3 linked regions of the Drosophila melanogaster genome follow. The protein of the gene in region 1 purifies or fractionates together with the protein of each later gene. This does not show direct contact. Each region holds a gene or a part of one and is shown in the gene's direction. Other genes may lie near its edges.

Evidence for each region. The genes of interacting proteins can lie anywhere in the genome.
Region 2: the proteins of Cdc42 (region 1) and RhoGEF2 purify together in Drosophila melanogaster (affinity purification with western blotting, with the first as the bait; one study listed by BioGRID). This does not show direct contact.
Region 3: the proteins of Cdc42 (region 1) and Whamy purify together in Drosophila melanogaster (affinity purification with western blotting, with the first as the bait; 2 studies listed by BioGRID). This does not show direct contact.

What each region holds. Positions count from the first base shown.
Region 1 is NC_004354.4:19,695,265-19,701,627, forward strand, and holds Cdc42 (cell division cycle 42), read left to right. Parts: upstream 1-1,826; 5' UTR 1,827-1,888; exon of another isoform or gene 1,889-1,961; intron 1,962-2,670; 5' UTR 2,671-2,693; coding exon 2,694-2,981; intron 2,982-3,042; coding exon 3,043-3,330; 3' UTR 3,331-4,674; downstream 4,675-6,363. Other genes in the region: Tcs4 (Threonyl-carbamoyl synthesis 4), read right to left, coding at 5,180-6,224, 6,280-6,363. UniProt on the Drosophila melanogaster protein: Regulates mbt kinase activity and is also required to recruit mbt to adherens junctions. Together with mbt and Frl, regulates photoreceptor cell morphogenesis. Together with Frl, has a role in the neuronal development of mushroom bodies.
Region 2 is NT_033778.4:17,024,535-17,030,525, forward strand, and holds the start of RhoGEF2 (Rho guanine nucleotide exchange factor 2), read left to right. Parts: upstream 1-2,655; 5' UTR 2,656-2,805; intron 2,806-4,138; 5' UTR 4,139-4,461; coding exon 4,462-4,487; intron 4,488-5,991. Other genes in the region: Dark (Death-associated APAF1-related killer), read left to right, coding at 1-757, 825-944, 1,000-1,146, 1,211-1,894.
Region 3 is NT_033777.3:9,770,959-9,776,846, reverse strand, and holds Whamy (WHAMM and JMY related), read left to right. Parts: upstream 1-2,427; 5' UTR 2,428-2,527; exon of another isoform or gene 2,528-2,536; intron 2,537-2,868; 5' UTR 2,869-2,872; coding exon 2,873-3,646; intron 3,647-3,697; coding exon 3,698-4,651; intron 4,652-4,709; coding exon 4,710-4,874; 3' UTR 4,875-5,052; downstream 5,053-5,888. Other genes in the region: topi (matotopetli), read right to left, coding at 1-101, 162-1,134, 1,194-1,563; CG9471 (uncharacterized protein), read left to right, coding at 5,479-5,551, 5,607-5,888.

The sequences.
Region 1 (6,363 bases):
AGCGCCAAGTGAGAATATTTTATACCCAACAATTACTTCACGATGACACGATGAATACAGCTGCGGTTAAAATAATAACACTACTGCAGGTGGAAAGTTGATTTACCAAAAAAAATAATTAAATGTTTTATTTTTTTAAGTCAGATTGCATGAATAATAAGAACCATATGTTGTCTCTCTGAGCAAGAAATTTTTACTCTCTCAATGTAACGGTTCTTTTTGTTTTTGGGCACTTGCTGTGGTAACAAAAATAGCACCGATCACGTATTTGCTGAATACAATTAATAGGAGTGATTGCTTTGGGTTTTTTTTTCGACAAATTTTGAAAAAAGGAGTTGCAATAAAGGTTTTAATTGAATTTTTTCCAAACGAAGACAAAAAATTCTCTAGTCATGGGTCGCGGAAAGCATTGTACCGTCGAAAAAAGAAATTTGATTAAAAACATGATTTCTGAACGTAAAACCTACGCTGAAATTGGTCGCATTGTCGGTTGTTCAAACAAAATGATCCGCAAAGCACTGCTGTTTGTCGAAAAGAAGGAAACACGGCGAAGAGAGCCCTCAATGTCCAACGTGGAGATCAAGCGCTTGGTTTGGCAAAGCAAGAAGGAGTCTTTTAAGCCGGCGACGGAACTGAAGAAGGAGCTTCAGATAGCTGCAAGCGTGGAAACAGTTCGCAAACGCTTAAGACAAAACAACCTTAATGCGTGCAGCCCCAAAAAAGTACCGCTTTTGACTGTGAAGCATGTGGCAAAGCGAATCGAATATGCCAAGATACACAAGGACTGGCCTATGGAGAAGTGGTGCAACATTTTGTGGTCAGATGAGATCAAAATTGTGTTGTTTGGTGGGAAAGGCTCTCGGTCTTATGTTCGGCGTCCACCACGACGTCCACCACTAAATATAATCCTCGCTTCACCTTTAAGTCGGTAAAAAACGGGGGATCAAGCATCATGGTATGGGCGTGCTTTTCATGGTATGGAGTAGTTCCAATCCATTGGATTCAAAGCATCATGGATCAGCACATTTACTGTCATATGCCGAGGATGAAATGCCGTTGGTTTGGACATTTCAACAGGATAACGACCCAAAACACACGAGCAAGAAAGCTCAAAGTGGTTTGAGCAGAAGTAGATCCGAGTAATGAAATGGCCTGCTCAGTCACCCGACTTGAATCCAATCGAAAACCTTTGGGCGGACGTGAAAAAAGGGTTTCTGAAGCCAGACCCAATAATAACGAGGAATTTTGGGGTGTGGTCAAGGATTCAGGAAGCAAAATTCCTCAAAAACAGTGCCAGGACTTGGTGGAGTCCATGCCAAGACGATGTCCAGCTGTCATTACCAGCATAGGTCACGCAACCAAATATTAAGATTCTTTAAACATAGTTTTTAAGATATAATCCGTTTGTTTAAATTTTTTTAAAAATTTTTTAAAAAATTTTTTTATTTAGTTTTGGCAAACTACAAGAAACAGTGCTATTTTTGTTACCGCCTAAATTTGAAGGTTTTTTTTTGTTTTACCAATTATTTTATCCATTAGATCTGTTACTAATTTTTTTATTTCGATTGAAAATCATTGTAGTATTTAAGTTTAGTGAGTAAAATGATGAAAAAGTGTCAGAAAATACAGAAACACTGGGACAAACACGAAATCCGCTTATTATTGTTACCGCAACTGTATGCAGTATATTGGTCCCGCTCTGCCCGATCGGTCGGATATATAGCCCTTACAGTGACAGAGAACTTCCACCGAAAATACCAACATACCGATTGCGATGCAAGCCGGGTGGGAGTACTGCGACGGGATGGCAACGCCGCGCTAGTCACTCGCACGCAAAGAGCTCGCTGGAGAGAGAGAACGCTAACACAAAAGGAAATAGTAGTTTTCCGTACGTATCGAGCCCAGCCCAGAAAAGCGGAAAACTAAACGGATTCGACAGCGGTTGCAAATTTTAAATAACTGTAAGTAAGGCGGAAAAGGTGCCCGCAACGAGCATCCGCCGTATAGATCGCAACGCGTTTCAATTTGCCCAGTGAAAAGTGAATGAAAACCAAATGTCGATGACGGGCCTGCCTGCCTGTGTGTGTGTGTCATATGTGCGTGTGGTCCGTGCCGCAGTGTGCGTGTGTGATAAATAATTGCTTCCAAATTTCTTTAGTTTTTTGTCTGCAAATCTCGTCTAAAATCCGACTATAGCTAAAAACAGGGGGCAGCTCCAGCAGCTGACTGGGCGGCCAGTCCCGTGACCAAATAAACCATCATAAAGCCAGTAATAGTGCAGCAAAAACTGCATTAGACCAAGTGAACACGCACCGCACACACACAACCGCAAGCTGCCGTACTCGCTGCGCCCCTGCGCGCAAGTGTTTGCGTGTATGTGTGTCCAATCAGAATTTTCTGATGCCCGTCCGGCTTATCTGTGTGCGCCGTTGCTTTCCATTCTTTCCGTTCTTTCTTCGGCTTGAGTCATCGCTCATTCTGCCCAGATATGTACATATGTACATTGCACACACACTGCCGCCCCGCTCTCCTGGGCTCCGCTCCTCCTCGTTGATAAGGCGCCGCTGGCGAACGGTCACTCTGGCAGGAGTACGAGCAGGAGCAGGGAAGCCGCACCCACTAGTCATCCCCCCAGTGTAATCCGGCAAACTAACCCCCACTAATCCGCAGGAGTCATCACCCCTCTGCACAACATGCAAACCATCAAGTGCGTGGTCGTCGGCGACGGAGCCGTGGGTAAGACATGCCTGCTCATCTCGTATACAACCAACAAGTTCCCGTCGGAGTACGTGCCCACGGTGTTCGACAACTATGCGGTCACTGTGATGATCGGCGGTGAGCCCTACACACTGGGCCTGTTCGATACGGCCGGACAGGAGGACTACGATCGGCTGCGTCCGCTCTCCTATCCGCAGACGGATGTCTTCCTTGTCTGCTTTTCGGTGGTCAGTCCCAGTTCCTTCGAGAACGTCAAGGAGAAGGTACGTACAAGACTATTCTACGCCATGGCGAGACTGTAAGTGAGTCATTTTGCATTTGCAGTGGGTGCCCGAGATTACACACCATTGCCAAAAGACGCCGTTCCTGCTGGTGGGCACACAGATTGATTTGCGCGACGAGAACAGCACGCTGGAGAAGCTGGCCAAGAACAAGCAGAAGCCCATCACCATGGAGCAGGGCGAGAAGCTGGCCAAGGAGCTGAAGGCCGTCAAGTACGTGGAGTGCTCGGCCTTGACACAGAAGGGCCTGAAAAATGTATTCGACGAGGCCATCCTGGCCGCCCTCGAGCCACCAGAGCCCACAAAGAAAAGGAAGTGCAAATTCTTATAATTCTGCTTTCCTCACACGCGGTATCCCTTTCATTCTGGCTTTCTACTATCGCAATGACTCCTTCCCAGCCTCCCGTCGTCGAGAAGCATTCAATATATAGCCGTATATATATATATATAACATATATATATATATATGTATATATATTGGTCTTGATTTACGTTATTCTGCATTAGCCCAGTACTCCATGAGCTATTTCTCCTCGCCGCCATCCGCCTGTGTCCCCACTCCCACTCTACTCTTTTTGTCTCACACACCGTCTGTGTCTCCACTTACGCGCGTCCGCGTATCTGTGTCAGTAGTGTCCGTGCTCCAGCCTCCAGAGCTCTAATCCCTACCCGGTATTTTGGTCGGTTTCTATGTTTGGTCCACTGTGACCAGGCGGCTGGGCAGTTGCCCCCAACTCGGGACAGTCTTCCGCCCCACAAGCTTCAGCTCCAATCCCCGCCAGGATCCAATCGCAGCCAATCGAATCGAAACCCAGCCGACTTCATTTCTGCTCCCAAACATGTTTTTGGCGCAATTTTCGAATTAAGTAAAAAGAGGAACCACAATATCAATATAGCGAAAACAAATGATTTATATATAAATATATATATATATATATGTATATATATATATATTTCTTTATATATATATACAAAGATTAAGGAGAGGCAAAAAAAAAAAAAATATACATTTACGATAAACAAAAAAACAATCCAGAACAGAACAGAATGTGGGGCGATTCGAAAAGAACCATGCACTTATTCGTTTTGCCTCAGTCGATGAAATCCGCGGGAATCCACGTCGATATTGTCCCGAAAGGAGCAACGTGCGAGAATTATATTAAATATTTATGATAACTGATCGCGTAATGTTTAAACAGCGGAGGTCGGATGGAATTCGCTAGCATGCAGATATGAAAGTGAAGCTTATTATGTAATAAAACTAAGCGTATGAGTATTGAAATATGATTAAAAGTAAATTAAATGAACCTAAAGGAGGAGATAAAGGATCAGCAAGAGATGCGAGAACCGAACTAGGCGTTGCAACCACAACACAAACACACATCTGAAATCTACAATCTATATAAAAGTATATACATATATATATATATATTTAAATATGTATAATCCATAAAGTATAACAAACAATAAAACAACGGCAACAGCAACAAACATTTGTATTGTAGTTCAGCAAAAAAACAAAAACGACAAAAGATGAAAGGAAAATAAGAACTAATGCATTTTTTAATATTTTTATATGTACACATTATCAATTTTTACATTTTTTTTCTAGACCTTAGTGATTTAACATTATTGATTTCAGATAATATCTTATAATAAAACGAAATCCAAAACGAAACCACTCACTGTCTTGCCTGAAATGAAAAAAAAAAAGGGAACATCCCACCAAAGATGCACAAGCGAAAATGTACTTTTTATATGTATAAAATTACATAAATTCAATGCAATTGTGATTTTTATATAGCATTTGTGATTCATTTGTGGTTGTTTATTTCTATATCGATTCGCGTGATAAAGACCTGTCGTCATATCAGTTATTACGTTCCTGGAAAAGTGGCCAACAGGTGGAGGCAAAGCTTTTCCATTACTATAAACTATATTTTGATTATCTGGCCATGTCCTATTGTTCGTCAGCATAAACGTCGAGATCTCGGAAGCCACCAGAGCTAGCAAGGTGGCTCTTAGCAAGTAGGAACTCTGCAGCGCCAAAGAACTCACACACTCAAAAATATTATGAATATATTATTAATTTGTAAATCAGACAAACAGGATTCAACAACGAACAAGGATTCATCTGTAACTTTATGTAAGAATGTATAAAACACAACAGGGGCTAGTGATCAAACCAGTGGCTGTATCCACTTGCATTTTATGGCCGCCGCAGCGACAGCTTCCTCGTGCGACTCGGCGAATCCCGCGCTGCCCTGGATATCAATGCTGTCGTAGTCGTAGCGCGTGCTGGCCTCTTTATCCTGCAGCAGTTGCTCAACGCCGTGCCAGGCGATCATGACGCCGTTGTCGGAGCAGTACCGCTTCGATGGACGGAAGCTCCTGCAGCCATACTGCGCGGCCAGATGTTCGATGTTGGCGTATATGGCATCGTTGTTGGCCACACCGCCGGACATGACCAGTGTGGGCGGGGTGTCACCGAAGAGCTGCCTGTGCGGCAGGAGGCAGTACTCAATTGCCCGCTGCGTGCGGTGCATCAGGTGCCGGCTGACAGAGCGCAGCAGGCCGGCGCAGAAGTCGCCGTAGTTGCTGATGACTCCGTCCGGAGGTGTCCGCTCTGCCCGCTCGCGCGCTCGGATGGCCCGGAAGGAGTTGTTCTTGATGCCGGCGAAGCTGAAGTTGCAGTTCCGCTGCTGGGCAAGTGGCAGCGGAAACTCGTAGGCCAGCGGATCGCTGGCCAGCTGGGCGGCATGCTCAATGGCCCGTCCTCCGTTCCACAAGCGGTACTCCGGCAGAATGTGCAGGCGTAGTCGCCGACCGATCTTGTCAAAGGCCTCGCCGGGCGCATCATCCAGTGTTTGGCCAAGAAGCGTAAGGCGACCGGGGCCGTTAGCCACCACCAACTGACAGTGGCCGCCGCTGGCCAGCAAGCAGAGGAAGGGGTAGCCGATCTGCTCCGGATGTTCCATGCGGGCCTGCAGCGCGTGCGCCTCCATGTGGTGAACGGGCAGCAGGGGCTTCTGCAGGCGACGGGCCAGGTGCCGTGCAAAGCGCACGCCCACCAGCAAACTCAGCGGCAGTCCGGGACGCGTGGTCACCGCGATGGCCGTCAGTTGGTCCGGCTTCAATTGCGCCGCCTCCATGCAGCGCTGGTAGGCGGACTCGATGCGGGCGCGGTGAAGGTCCTGGGCCCTGGGCGGAATAATGCCTCCATAGCTGCAATCGATTCAGTTCATCATTGGGCACCGCATGCGGAGATGTGAGCACTCACCGGGTGTGGAACTCCTGTTGCGACTCCAGCACATTGGCAATCACTCGGCCCGTGGTGTCCACGATGGCGATGCCCGTGTCGTCG
Region 2 (5,991 bases), on another chromosome or scaffold:
TTACCTACTGCTGGGCACGTCCGAGGGACTTATTGTGTATGATCTGAAAATCTCTGATCCCGTGCTACGCAGCAATGTCAGCGAACATATAGAGTGTGTGGATATATACGAGCTGTTTGATCCTGTCTATAAGTACATTGTTTTGTGCGGCGCTAAGGGAAAACAGGTGGTCCATGTGCACACATTGCGCTCTGTAAGCGGCTCGAATTCACATCAAAACAGGGAAATCGCCTGGGTTCACAGTGCAGATGAGATAAGCGTGATGACAAAGGCTTGCTTGGAGCCTAATGTCTATCTGCGTTCTCTGATGGACATGACCAGAGAGCGGACGCAACTTCTGGCTGTGGACTCCAAGGAGCGCATTCACCTAATTAAACCGGCCATTTCTAGAATTTCCGAATGGTCCACAATCACACCCACTCATGCTGCCAGTAACTGTAAGATAAATGCCATATCCGCCTTTAACGACGAACAGATTTTCGTTGGCTATGTGGACGGAGTGATAATAGATGTTATTCATGATACAGCGCTACCTCAGCAGTTTATAGAGGAGCCCATTGATTACCTCAAACAGGTCAGTCCCAACATTCTGGTGGCGTCGGCACACAGTGCCCAGAAGACTGTGATATTCCAGCTGGAAAAGATAGATCCGCTGCAACCCAATGACCAGTGGCCATTGATGATGGATGTTAGTACCAAGTACGCGTCCTTGCAGGAAGGACAGTATATCATTTTGTTTTCCGACCACGGAGTCTGTGTGAGTGTTCTTAATTGAAGTTTATGCGAGTAAAAGTGCAGTATTTGATTTCAATATTTACCAACAGCATCTGGATATAGCTAACCCATCTGCATTCGTGAAACCAAAGGATTCGGAGGAATACATTGTCGGCTTTGATCTAAAGAACAGTCTTCTCTTTCTGGCCTACGAAAACAACATCATCGATGTGGGTTTGCTAAACATAATATCATTAAACAATTATCAATTATTTCCAACGACAGGTATTCCGTTTAATATTCAGCTGTAACCAACTAAGGTACGAACAGATTTGCGAAGAAGAGATCGCCCAGAAGGCCAAGATCAGCTATTTGGTAGCCACGGATGATGGTACCATGTTGGCTATGGGTTTCGAAAATGGCACTTTAGAGGTATACATACGTCTTACAAATTCGTTTCATAATTATTTCCTGCTAATTATACATTTCCCAACAGCTCTTTGCCGTTGAAAACAGAAAAGTTCAACTGATCTACAGCATTGAAGAGGTCCACGAGCACTGCATCCGGCAATTGCTATTCTCGCCATGTAAGTTGCTCCTGATCAGCTGCGCGGAGCAGCTGTGCTTCTGGAATGTGACGCACATGCGCAACAATCAATTGGAGCGCGAGCAAAAACGGCGGCGCAGTCGACGCCATAAGCAGCACAGTGTTACACAAGAGGATGCTGTGGATGCGGCGCCCATTGCAGCGGACATCGATGTAGATGTGACATTCGTTGCCGACGAGTTTCATCCGGTGAACCGAGGGACTGCGGAACTGTGGCGGAATAAGCGCGGCAATGCCATCCGTCCGGAACTCCTGGCCTGCGTTAAATTTGTGGGAAATGAAGCTCGTCAGTTCTTCACAGACGCCCACTTCTCCCACTTTTATGCCATAGATGACGAGGGTGTCTACTACCATCTGCAGTTGCTGGAGTTAAGCAGACTTCAACCTCCACCTGACCCAGTTACGTTGGATATTGCCAATCAGTATGAAGACTTAAAAAATCTTCGAATTCTCGACAGCCCACTTATGCAGGATTCGGATAGCGAGGGTGCTGATGTAGTTGGCAACCTGGTTCTGGAGAAGAACGGCGGAGTGGCGAGGGCGACACCAATTCTGGAGGAGGCCAGTTCATGACGCCAGAAGTGCGTCCCTAGGCGGCGCACGAAACAGGAAAGTCCAAACTACAACATGGCATTTATAGGATTACTGCTCTACTACCTGATGGTTTTGCTCTTCTACCTCCTGGGTCCGGATTTGTCCTAGGCAAACATTAGTTGTTGGCGCTTACATTTGCGAATGTATGCAGCTAACCAAGTATGATATCTCAGAGGGCGGTGGGTGCGTTGCCCTGCCTTTGTTTGTCAACGCGAGTAACCGCCACCAAATAAACGACATTTCACGAAAAACACAGAACGCGGTTTTGTTGTCTGCTCTTTGTGCTGTCCGTATGTATGTATGCATGCATGTCTGTGTGGGTGGTTGTGCTGTGCGTTTGTTTTGATTTCTGCCAGGCACGCCAGATCAAGTGTTGCAAAAGCATTGGTCCCGGGACAGTGCTGCTAAGTTCGTGTATGGATATCAGTGTTGCGGTCCAATAAATAGGTACGTATCTGGATTGTGGCTCGTCTACTTCTAAGCTGACTTAAATTAATAAAAAGGCTTTGGCCTCAATGTTTGCATTTTGGTTTTATTAAAAAGTTCAAGTCAAGTTTGGGCTATAATTTTTATAAGCTAAGATTTACACACATTGCCTTAATGAACACACGTACGAAATATATTAAGAAGCATTTAAAACAATGAATAAAAACCAATAGCTAACTTGTATCATCGGCAAGGTACCTTGTTTGTACCAGTTTTAGGTACTGAATTCCGTACCGAACTAAAGCCCTTTTCAACACTGGCAGATATGCGCTCTTTCTCGTCATTTCATTCCAATTTTCAAGCTGAAAAGAAAAGAACGTCGTGTGCGTGTTGATGGCGCGATAAGTGAAAAAAATAAAAACATTTTTCGTGTCTTTATGGAATACAATACGAGTGCGTTTTAAGTAAGTGCGTGGCGAAAGTGGCGAAGCAGAGAAAGAATGATGCGCAACTCGCTACGCGTGAGCTCACTGCAGCAACAAAAGCAATAAATAAAAAAAGTGACTACATGCATTCCGCGCACCCACACACTGGCGTAAAATTCATACATATTTAAGTGCATTTGTGCACGCTCGTCAATGGCAAAATCGCGAGCTTGCAACTGCCAGGAAATATTGTACGCAAATTTGTCTAAAAATGATCTCTAACCCATCGCACGCAGACAGACGCAGCGCGCTTATAGGGGCATCGAATGTATGACGGCATATGTGTATTTATTTTCCACACTCGCCCATCGGTGGCAGTGAGTGTTAGTGAGCGACGCGCGTGTGTGAGTGCGTCGAGTGCTGAACTCTTGAACTGCAGTACATGGCTTTAATTCGATTTTAGGGATGTGCGGCTTGACGGAGCGGGAAGCGATCGAATTAATGAGTAAATGATAAACAACTGGACGCTTTCCGAGGCTTCGAATCCCTTGTTTTTCTCTAACAAGTGGCTTGCGGCAGCCATATTGTTTTGCCTTTGCGTTTGCGGCGATGATCGCACTCGCACCCCCACACACACTCAGTCAGTCAGTCAGTCCAGTTTGTGTGTATACATATTTATTCAATTAAATATTTGCGTTTAATTAAAAAGGAGTGAAACTGCAAGAATTGATTTATTTAGGTAAACAAACAGTGAGATCAGTGCAAATTCAAAGAAAGAGAGGGAGTCTTTGTTTTTCTTTTTGGGTTTTCGTCACGCTAATTGAACACAAGCGATTAATTGAACAATCAGCTGTTCTAATGGAAAATACGCAAATCTGGAAAGGATCGCTGGAATTTTCCTGCTTGTGTGTCCGCTCTGACCCATTAGTATAGCATTAGTATTTCAATTTTTCGGCCAAAAACTTGTTTTCCCCCAACCCCAAGTCGTCATCCATTAAATGTTTCGTGAAAACTAGTCAGCAAAAAGCACAACAATAAAACCAGCAACAACTGCTGCCTGCGAGTGACAGAGAAAGCAAGAGATTACGAGAGAGAGTGAGAGAGAACGAGCGCGGCGAGAGAGCCATAGGCATTGGAATATGTATGGCTTGCGCGTGAGTGTGTGGGTGTGCTGTTCAGTTATCTGTGTTGGAATAAAAACAATGAAATTGCAAGGAGATTGCTGCCTGCATTTGAACCCTCTCCGATCCGCCCCATCCCCCATAACCCTTCACCACCCACTCAAAAAAAAAAAAAAAAAATGCAAACAAATATTTTAATGTACATGCATTAATGCCCGAAATGTCTTCAAACGAATTTTGTGTGCCCACAGGTTTAAGTGAAAAGTAGCAGTGCAAAATATATATACACATATCAAAACCCATTGGAATAGTGCAACCAAAAAATCATAAAACAGAACTAAAGCAACGAAAATCGAGGCAATTAAATCACTTCTGGATTCATTTCGGCCCGTTTTTACTAGCTAATTTAAAAATAGCTGCCGAAAGCATTCCGCAACCACTTCTGGTGACTGGCCCCACACCAATGCGAACAATACTCCACGGGATCCTCCGACTTCGAGTGGCTTACGCATGCCTTTGAATTTGCATCTTCGCACCCGCACAGCAGCCAGCAAAAGCCATCGCAGGAAACCCTATGGATGACCCATCAATCAAAAAACGGTGAGTTCAACTGCTCCACTGTCTCCATGCGCTACAATTTCCCCACTTTCCACTTTCCCACTGGTTAAATTGCTCGCATTGCGATAAGAATTTATCTTTTGTCCTCGACAGACTTAATAATTGTTATTTTCGTTCTTATTCGCAAGCAACAGTCGATTATACACATACTAATAAATATACCAAATATACATCATAGAGGCAGGTTTAATGCAAATTTCAAAGGCAGTGTCAACTGGTTGTGGGAATTGAATAATTTTAATGAAATCTCGAAGAAGAAGAAGATATTAGTCACACAAAAAGTTAAAGCTCTTATTATATCAAATCGGAAGAATTTTTACTCATAAAAGAAGCTTTCACACATTCTTGACCTAAGTGCTTATATTAACATATTAGGGCTACCCTTAAGAACTAGCAACTTATGTAAGATCGTTGCCTAAATAGTGTAGCAGCCTTTAAGAATCCTCGAAATTATATTAAAATAATAGGTATTTTACTACATTTTAAATAGTTCTTAAGCCAGTTACAGATGATTTAACTGTGCATTAGATCACCGATCAACTTTTGTAAGCAATTACTAATTCATTTGACCCGTGATTAGTCAGCAAACGTTGTTTGAAAATAGCCAATTGACGAGGTGAAACTTTGCGCCGTCTCACAGTTCTGAAACGCACTGTGTTTGCTGATTGTTTATACCAATAGTTCCCCCAAGCTTGGGGTTGTTTTTGTGCGGTTTCGACTGCCAAACGGATGACTTAATACATATATACGCTCACCAACTTAGGGAGCGGCCAGTTTTCACATTTTACCATTTATTTCTTTTATTGCCACCTAGGGAAGTTTTAGCCCAAATAGATTGGCGAAACCAGTGACTTTCTAAGCATGCTTGTGTGTGCATTTGGTGGTGGTGTCTTAACCACGAATTGTATAATATACCTATGCAAAATGATTTAAATCTATTAACAGCTCACCACCACTGGTGTTGTCGTCTGATTTGTGGGCCTTAACAGGTTTTATGCCAGCCCGTCAACGGGCTGCAGCAAGATTTCCTCAAAATTAGGCAGCTAAATTTAGACAGAAAGAGAATTCACTTGGATCAAACGGAGAGACATGCTATTGACATGGGCCAATCAGTCAAAAAAGTTAATGTAAACATTTGATTTTTGGAGGTCTTGCCTGCCCGCCCGGCTGTTATGGAAATAACTCATCATAATGATGAATTCACCAGGCGGGAAATGAGCTTTTATTATATTCCGGTATATGAACGGGTCCGAAGGTGGTACACACTGTATACTGGGACATACATATGTACATATGTATGTTTATCCATTCCATTCACATGCAAAATGATCAAATAAACGGCAATTAAAGTGTATCTATTCTTCTGGCTGATTTAATTTTAGCTCAATTAAAAGAGACCCACCAGCGACGACAAATCGCTTGGCTTTGGCTTTGGCCGTGACTTTCGTTACATGTTTGTCGCATTCACAGCGAGGTCTTGATTAGC
Region 3 (5,888 bases), on another chromosome or scaffold:
AATCGTGGGCGAACTCAAAGTTGACGTCGCAAAAGTCACAGGGCAGCAGGAGCTTCTTGCCATTCTCGTTGAGGCGAGGAAAGTAGTGAAAGGAGGTACACCTAGTACAGAGAATAGAGAATCGAAGTAATCATACTTTCAATGGCTAACCAATAGCTTACCGATGCTCCTGGAGCAGGTCCGTGTTGGCAAACTTCAGCTCGCACACATTACACACAAAGTAGCGACTAAGCGTGACATTTAGGGACCTGATTGCTTCGCGCATGAAAATGCAGTCCGTCTGGAAGTGGATGCTGGCTTCCTTGGCCGTGTTCATCTGAATGTCGCAGGCGGTGCACTCAAAGCGCCGCTCCGCCACATGGGAAGCGGAATGGACAAGCAGCTCGGCTATGTCAGCGAAAATGTACTCGCAAAACTCGCACTGCAAAACACTTCCCAAGATCAGGCTGCTAAACATTTCCTTCTTCGGTGGGTTTGTGTTTTGATTGCTCGTTGCAAATGCGGGATCGTTGTCTATCAGCATCTCGCCATCCAGCAGCAGCTCATTGAAATCTGCTCTATTGGAGGGTACTTGGGTCATTGGACTTTGACGCATCGTTGAATGCTCCGAATCGTGAATAAGGCCGTGTCTAAAAGCCACCTGCGGATCATAGAAGATGCGGCCACACGAGTTGCACTTAACCACCACATGCAGTCCGGCAGCCGGAATCGTATGTGGTTGCTCGCTGGTTTGCGAAGGGATCAAGTCCAGGGCATGCTTCTCCATGTGGCGCACCAGCCCAGAGGCGTGGACAAATTTGCGGTCGCACATGGTGCACTCGTTGGGACCCTTGGCCGCGTTTTTGCGCGAGCTTTCGATGCCTGTGGCCAGATCGTACTTCATCTCATCTTTGATGTAACGGCGCAGACGCACTTGGTTCTCCCGAATTACCCGCTCGCTAGCCGGTTTGCTTAGCGGAGCCGGAGGAGCAGATACAGTAGGCACAAGATGTGGCTTCTCCTGCTGAGGCACCGCCACCTCGATCGGCTTCGCTTCACAGGAATGATTTTGAAAGGCCACGGCATCGAACTGGACCAAACATGTTGGACACTTTATACGGTTGACAGTGGACGCAGAGGAATTGGAACGAGATCCTAAATAATGTAGGCAATACTATAAAAACTTATCCATGCAAGTGAATCTATTCGTATACCATGAAAGACCGATTGCTCAGTGGTCATCTTGCTGCTGGTGACGCCGGCCAAAAAGTCGCGAATCTTCATTTGCTCCGCCTGGGGATCGAAGCCTTTCTTTCCGTCGGCCTCCTGCAGGATTTGCTTGAAAGCCGGATCCGCCAATGTTCGCTCCACTACAACATCCGTGGGCATTGGTAAGGCGCCCGCTGGCCCCACGGCGAAGAATCTGGACAGCTCCTCATGGCTGACAATCCGCTCTAAGCCGCCAGTACTCTCGTTGGTGGCCAGCACTGTGGCTCCGGGTTGCAGGTCGTCTGGCGTCAACTGCTGGTCCAACTCGACTTCGATCTCGGCCAGCGTATATTCACCCGAAACTTTGACTTTCATGGCGCTAGTCCGATCGCGTATCTTTCGCAGAAAATTGCTCTCTCTCAAAAGCGATTCAAAGTTTTTAAAACTCAATGGCAGTTGGCCGAATTCGAAAAAAGTTCAAATTTGTACAGTTTCTATCGCAGGAATAATTTGTTCGGAAATTTTAACGAAACGTTTGTACTGCTGATAAGTAGGGATATGAGATTTGCTTTCTCCGTCGCTGGAAAATTGGCTCAACTGACAGTTGGCTCCAAGGCATTGGACAACTCTAAAGGGTTTCTAACAAAGACGGCAATACTAAAATGTTTGCTAAAGTAAAACATCTGACAACTTACCGATATGTTTATAACTTAAATGACCTGAGAATCAACTGAATATTATAAATACGTATATCGTAAAATATATATGTATAATATAAATGTAGTCTTTAAATTGCTTTGAATTTTAATTTCTAATATCACATAAGATTTAAAGTACATCTCAATAATGAGAAACTCAAACCAATGGGTTCGTAGTTATACATTTTGAAACTGTGTTTTTAAGTCCCTGCATATGCATTCATCTTTAAAAATAAAATGATTTATAAAGCCGTTTCCGCTTCTACAACACATTAGTCATTAGCTAATTTTTAAATTTTGGACTTACCCAACATTTTGCAGACTTCTGACAGCCAAGGCGCATATCGTAGACCGCAAAGTGTAGTTAACGCCATTTGTTTATGTTTTCCTTTGGCTCAGGCTGTCAGAGTCGGAGTCGTCGTAGTTGGCCCAGGTGATTACTGGCCGCCAGTTATCTGCATTCAGCACTTCGGTTACAGATAAGACGCCTCGCGAAATGAGTAAACGCAGTGCCTAACATGGCACACCGACGTTGTTAATCAGTCCCACAAGGTTCTCCGTGCCATTCAAACACACCAGCCGACCCGAGCCGAGCTGATCCGGTTCAGCATTTGCAGAATCCCTGCAAACAGCGTTTCCAGGTGCGCACGGTAATTGATCCTTGCTCATCGCCGCTGCCTACTGTCGTTCTAGACCACCATCTCGTTTCAATGGGCTTTCGTAATAATTATTAGCCTGTTTAACTGGTGACTGGGACCGTCGATGAGTCACGTCCGTGAAGGCCCACCGCGATCCGAATCCGAAATTGATAAAACGCCAAGTTGCGCCAGCAGTTCTTATCTGCAAATTGGCTACTAGATAATGCCGCTGGGCCCAGTGGACGCACGGCGGCAACGGGGAGAGATCCAAGACAATGCCAATGGGCGGCACCTCCTTTGCAGCCGTAATAACGCAGCTACCAACTACGTATCCGTTTTTCCAGTTCGATGGAGGATTACACATACGCCTACATCTCCGAGCCCGTGGAGTTCCGCCAGCTGGAGGGCAATGCGATTGACTTCCGCAAGACATTCGATCTGCGAGGCCAGGGCACCGACGAAATGCTTCAGTTGTACCTGCGCAAGGCAAATTTGTCCGATGATCTTGAACGTCTGCCGGCTATTGTGCGGCGCGCCTATGTCTATGACATAATTAGAAGCAATAAGGAACCCGGTTACTGGGTGGTAATATCCTGCAGCATCTCATCTTGCCAGCTTCATCAGCCGAAAGTGTCCTTGATGTTGTCCACAGTTGTCCTGAACGCAGCCGTTTTCTTCTCCTTTCAGCCACCGTCTATGCAAGTGAGCAGCGACGTCTTTGCACATCCACCGCCAGCAGTTCGTCCACCGCCTCACTACGCCGACAACGTGAGCATCAACGCCAGTCTAGACGGCATGAAGAGCTCCTCCTCCTCGAACAGCCTGGACAGGTATCTGGGCGCTCCGCCCTCTGTGGCCTTGGCGGGTCCCAGCTTCGCCACCAGCGTCTTGGTCAGCAGCAAGGGCTCCAAGTACGAGATTAGCGGACCAGTCAACTTCCAGCACGTTTCCGGCGATGTGACGCGGGATCGCACGCGAAACGCCTTCGACCTGAATGCCGATCCCAACGACAAGGTGCTGAGGAAGTACATGATGGAGCGTGGCATTACGGAGGCGGACATTAGTGACATGCGGCGCCAAGAAGTGATCAAGAAGATCATTCACTCCAATTTTACTTGGATGGTAGGTCTTGAAATTAACTGGAAGCTGTTAATATAACATTTGCCTTTTAAGCCACCAAAAAGTGATCTTCAGGCGCAGCCAAAAGTTCAAGATCATGCCAGGCCGCTGCTCTATGCCACCATTTCCACTAATAACCAGATTACTCCTCCGCCGTCTCCACCGCCGCCTCCAATAGCCACTATTTCGAGGCCAACGGAGGCACCAAACTTCTCCAACTACGCCTCGCTTACTTCACGGTTTGTGGATATCTCCGATATGGACTTACCTGCTCCTACGCCGGCTGCACCAACTCCTTTTCAACCGGCAGAGGTCGGAAGTGTGATACCCGTCCAAGTGCAGCCTCAGCAGAGTGTGAAACCTAAGGTTCCTCCACCTCCATCGGCGGTAATGGCGAAGAACACACATGGATATCCAGCGGCCATTGACATTCGTCAAGTGAGGCCATCTGTGGCGCCAAAGGTAGCGAATGAGACGTACGCCACCATATCACCGCAACGGAAAGTGGGCTCAATGCGCGTTCCACCGCCGGCGCCTCCAAAGCCAACAATAGTGCCTCATACGAACTCGACGATTTCCAACGGATCACTGTATGCTGTGTCCCCGGTGCAGTACGCGCCTGTTGCCAAGCCGGCGCCACCAGCTGCTCCTGCCAAGCCGACTTCTAGATCTTCGGCTGTCTATATGACACCACTGTCAGCGCAGAAAACCCAGATTAGTAGTACTCCGGTGCCAGTTTCACCACCGCCGCCTACAGCGGCATCCGTTGGTGTTCCACCGCCGCCTCCAGCGCCACCAGCAGGTGTTCCACCAGCACCGCCACCAATGCCAGTTTTTGGCGCGGGAGGCGCTCCTCCTCCACCACCGCCTCCATCAAGTGGCATGGCCGGCGTTCCACCACCGCCTCCGATGCAGAAATCACAGCCCAAGGCTGTTTCAGCTGCCTCCACCGGCGGAGACCCGAGGGATGCGTTCTTGGAGAGCATTCGACAAGGCGTAAAGCTGAAGGTATTAAAAGTAGACACCCATTTAAATTGGAAATCTAATCCTTCTTCGATTCTTGCAGAAAGTGGATCAGAAGGCAGCCACCATAAGTGGCATTAAGCCGCGTCCAGAACGTAAGCCGGTGACCACCGACTTTCTAAGTGAACTGAAGCTGGGAATAACACTGAGACGGGTCAAGAATCCGGCGGATAATCCGTATTCCGAGGAATCGGAGTCGCAGGCGTAACGATTTGGCGGTTAAACTTTCAACTGCGCCGCATTTTACCACACTGAACCAAGTGGCAGGGCTGCCAGACTGAGAACAACCGCCTTAATTTTAATTTTCGCAAATGTATTTATAATTTTAATATTAATCACCATGACAAATGACCATTAGCGTTTGTAAATAAAATTGTTATCGCCAGATATGATATACCTTATCATTATGCCTGACAGTAATCTATATAAAAATTCATATTGTTTTGCCAGTACAGTGCTAACTAGAAGCAATGAACCAATAAACAAAATAAGATTATTTGCATAGAGACAAAAATAACACGATATTTTTAAAGCAATAATTCGTAGCTTAATAAAAATACAAATGAATGTTAAATATCTTGTTACCTTCTACAGAAGCTTCAGATCAGTGAGCGTTCACTATTTAGAAAGAGCACTGTACATTCATTGCTACGGGTGAGGTGAGAATGCGAGGCAATCGCGCTGGATTCACTTGTGAATTGGAAATTTGATAGATAAGTTGCGCCTGGAGCACAGGTGAGACTGCACTTTTGCAAACCAACAACTGGACTAAACGCATTTCAATCGACGGGAATTAAAGAATCATCCGAATTATGCAACGCATTGCTATTATTGGAGGAACCGGCATGACCGGCGAGTGTGCCGTGGATCACGCCCTGCAGAAGGGTAGGTGACACCTTAAGACCCGGAAACGCCAGTTAAACCGTATTCTTCCTTTCAGGTCTGTCGGTGAAATTGCTATACCGCAGCGAAAAGACAGTTCCAGAACGCTTCAAGTCCAAGGTTGAATTGGTCAAGGGAGACGTGACCAACTACGAGGATGTCCAGCGCGTTATCGAGGGCGTGGATGCGGTAGCCGTCATCCTGGGCACCCGCAACAAGCTGGAGGCTACCACGGAGCTATCCCGCGGCACCGAGAACCTCATCAAGGCCATGAAAGAGGCCAAACTGACCAAATTCTCTATTGTCATGTCCTCGTTTCTCCTGCGCCCGCTCAACGAAG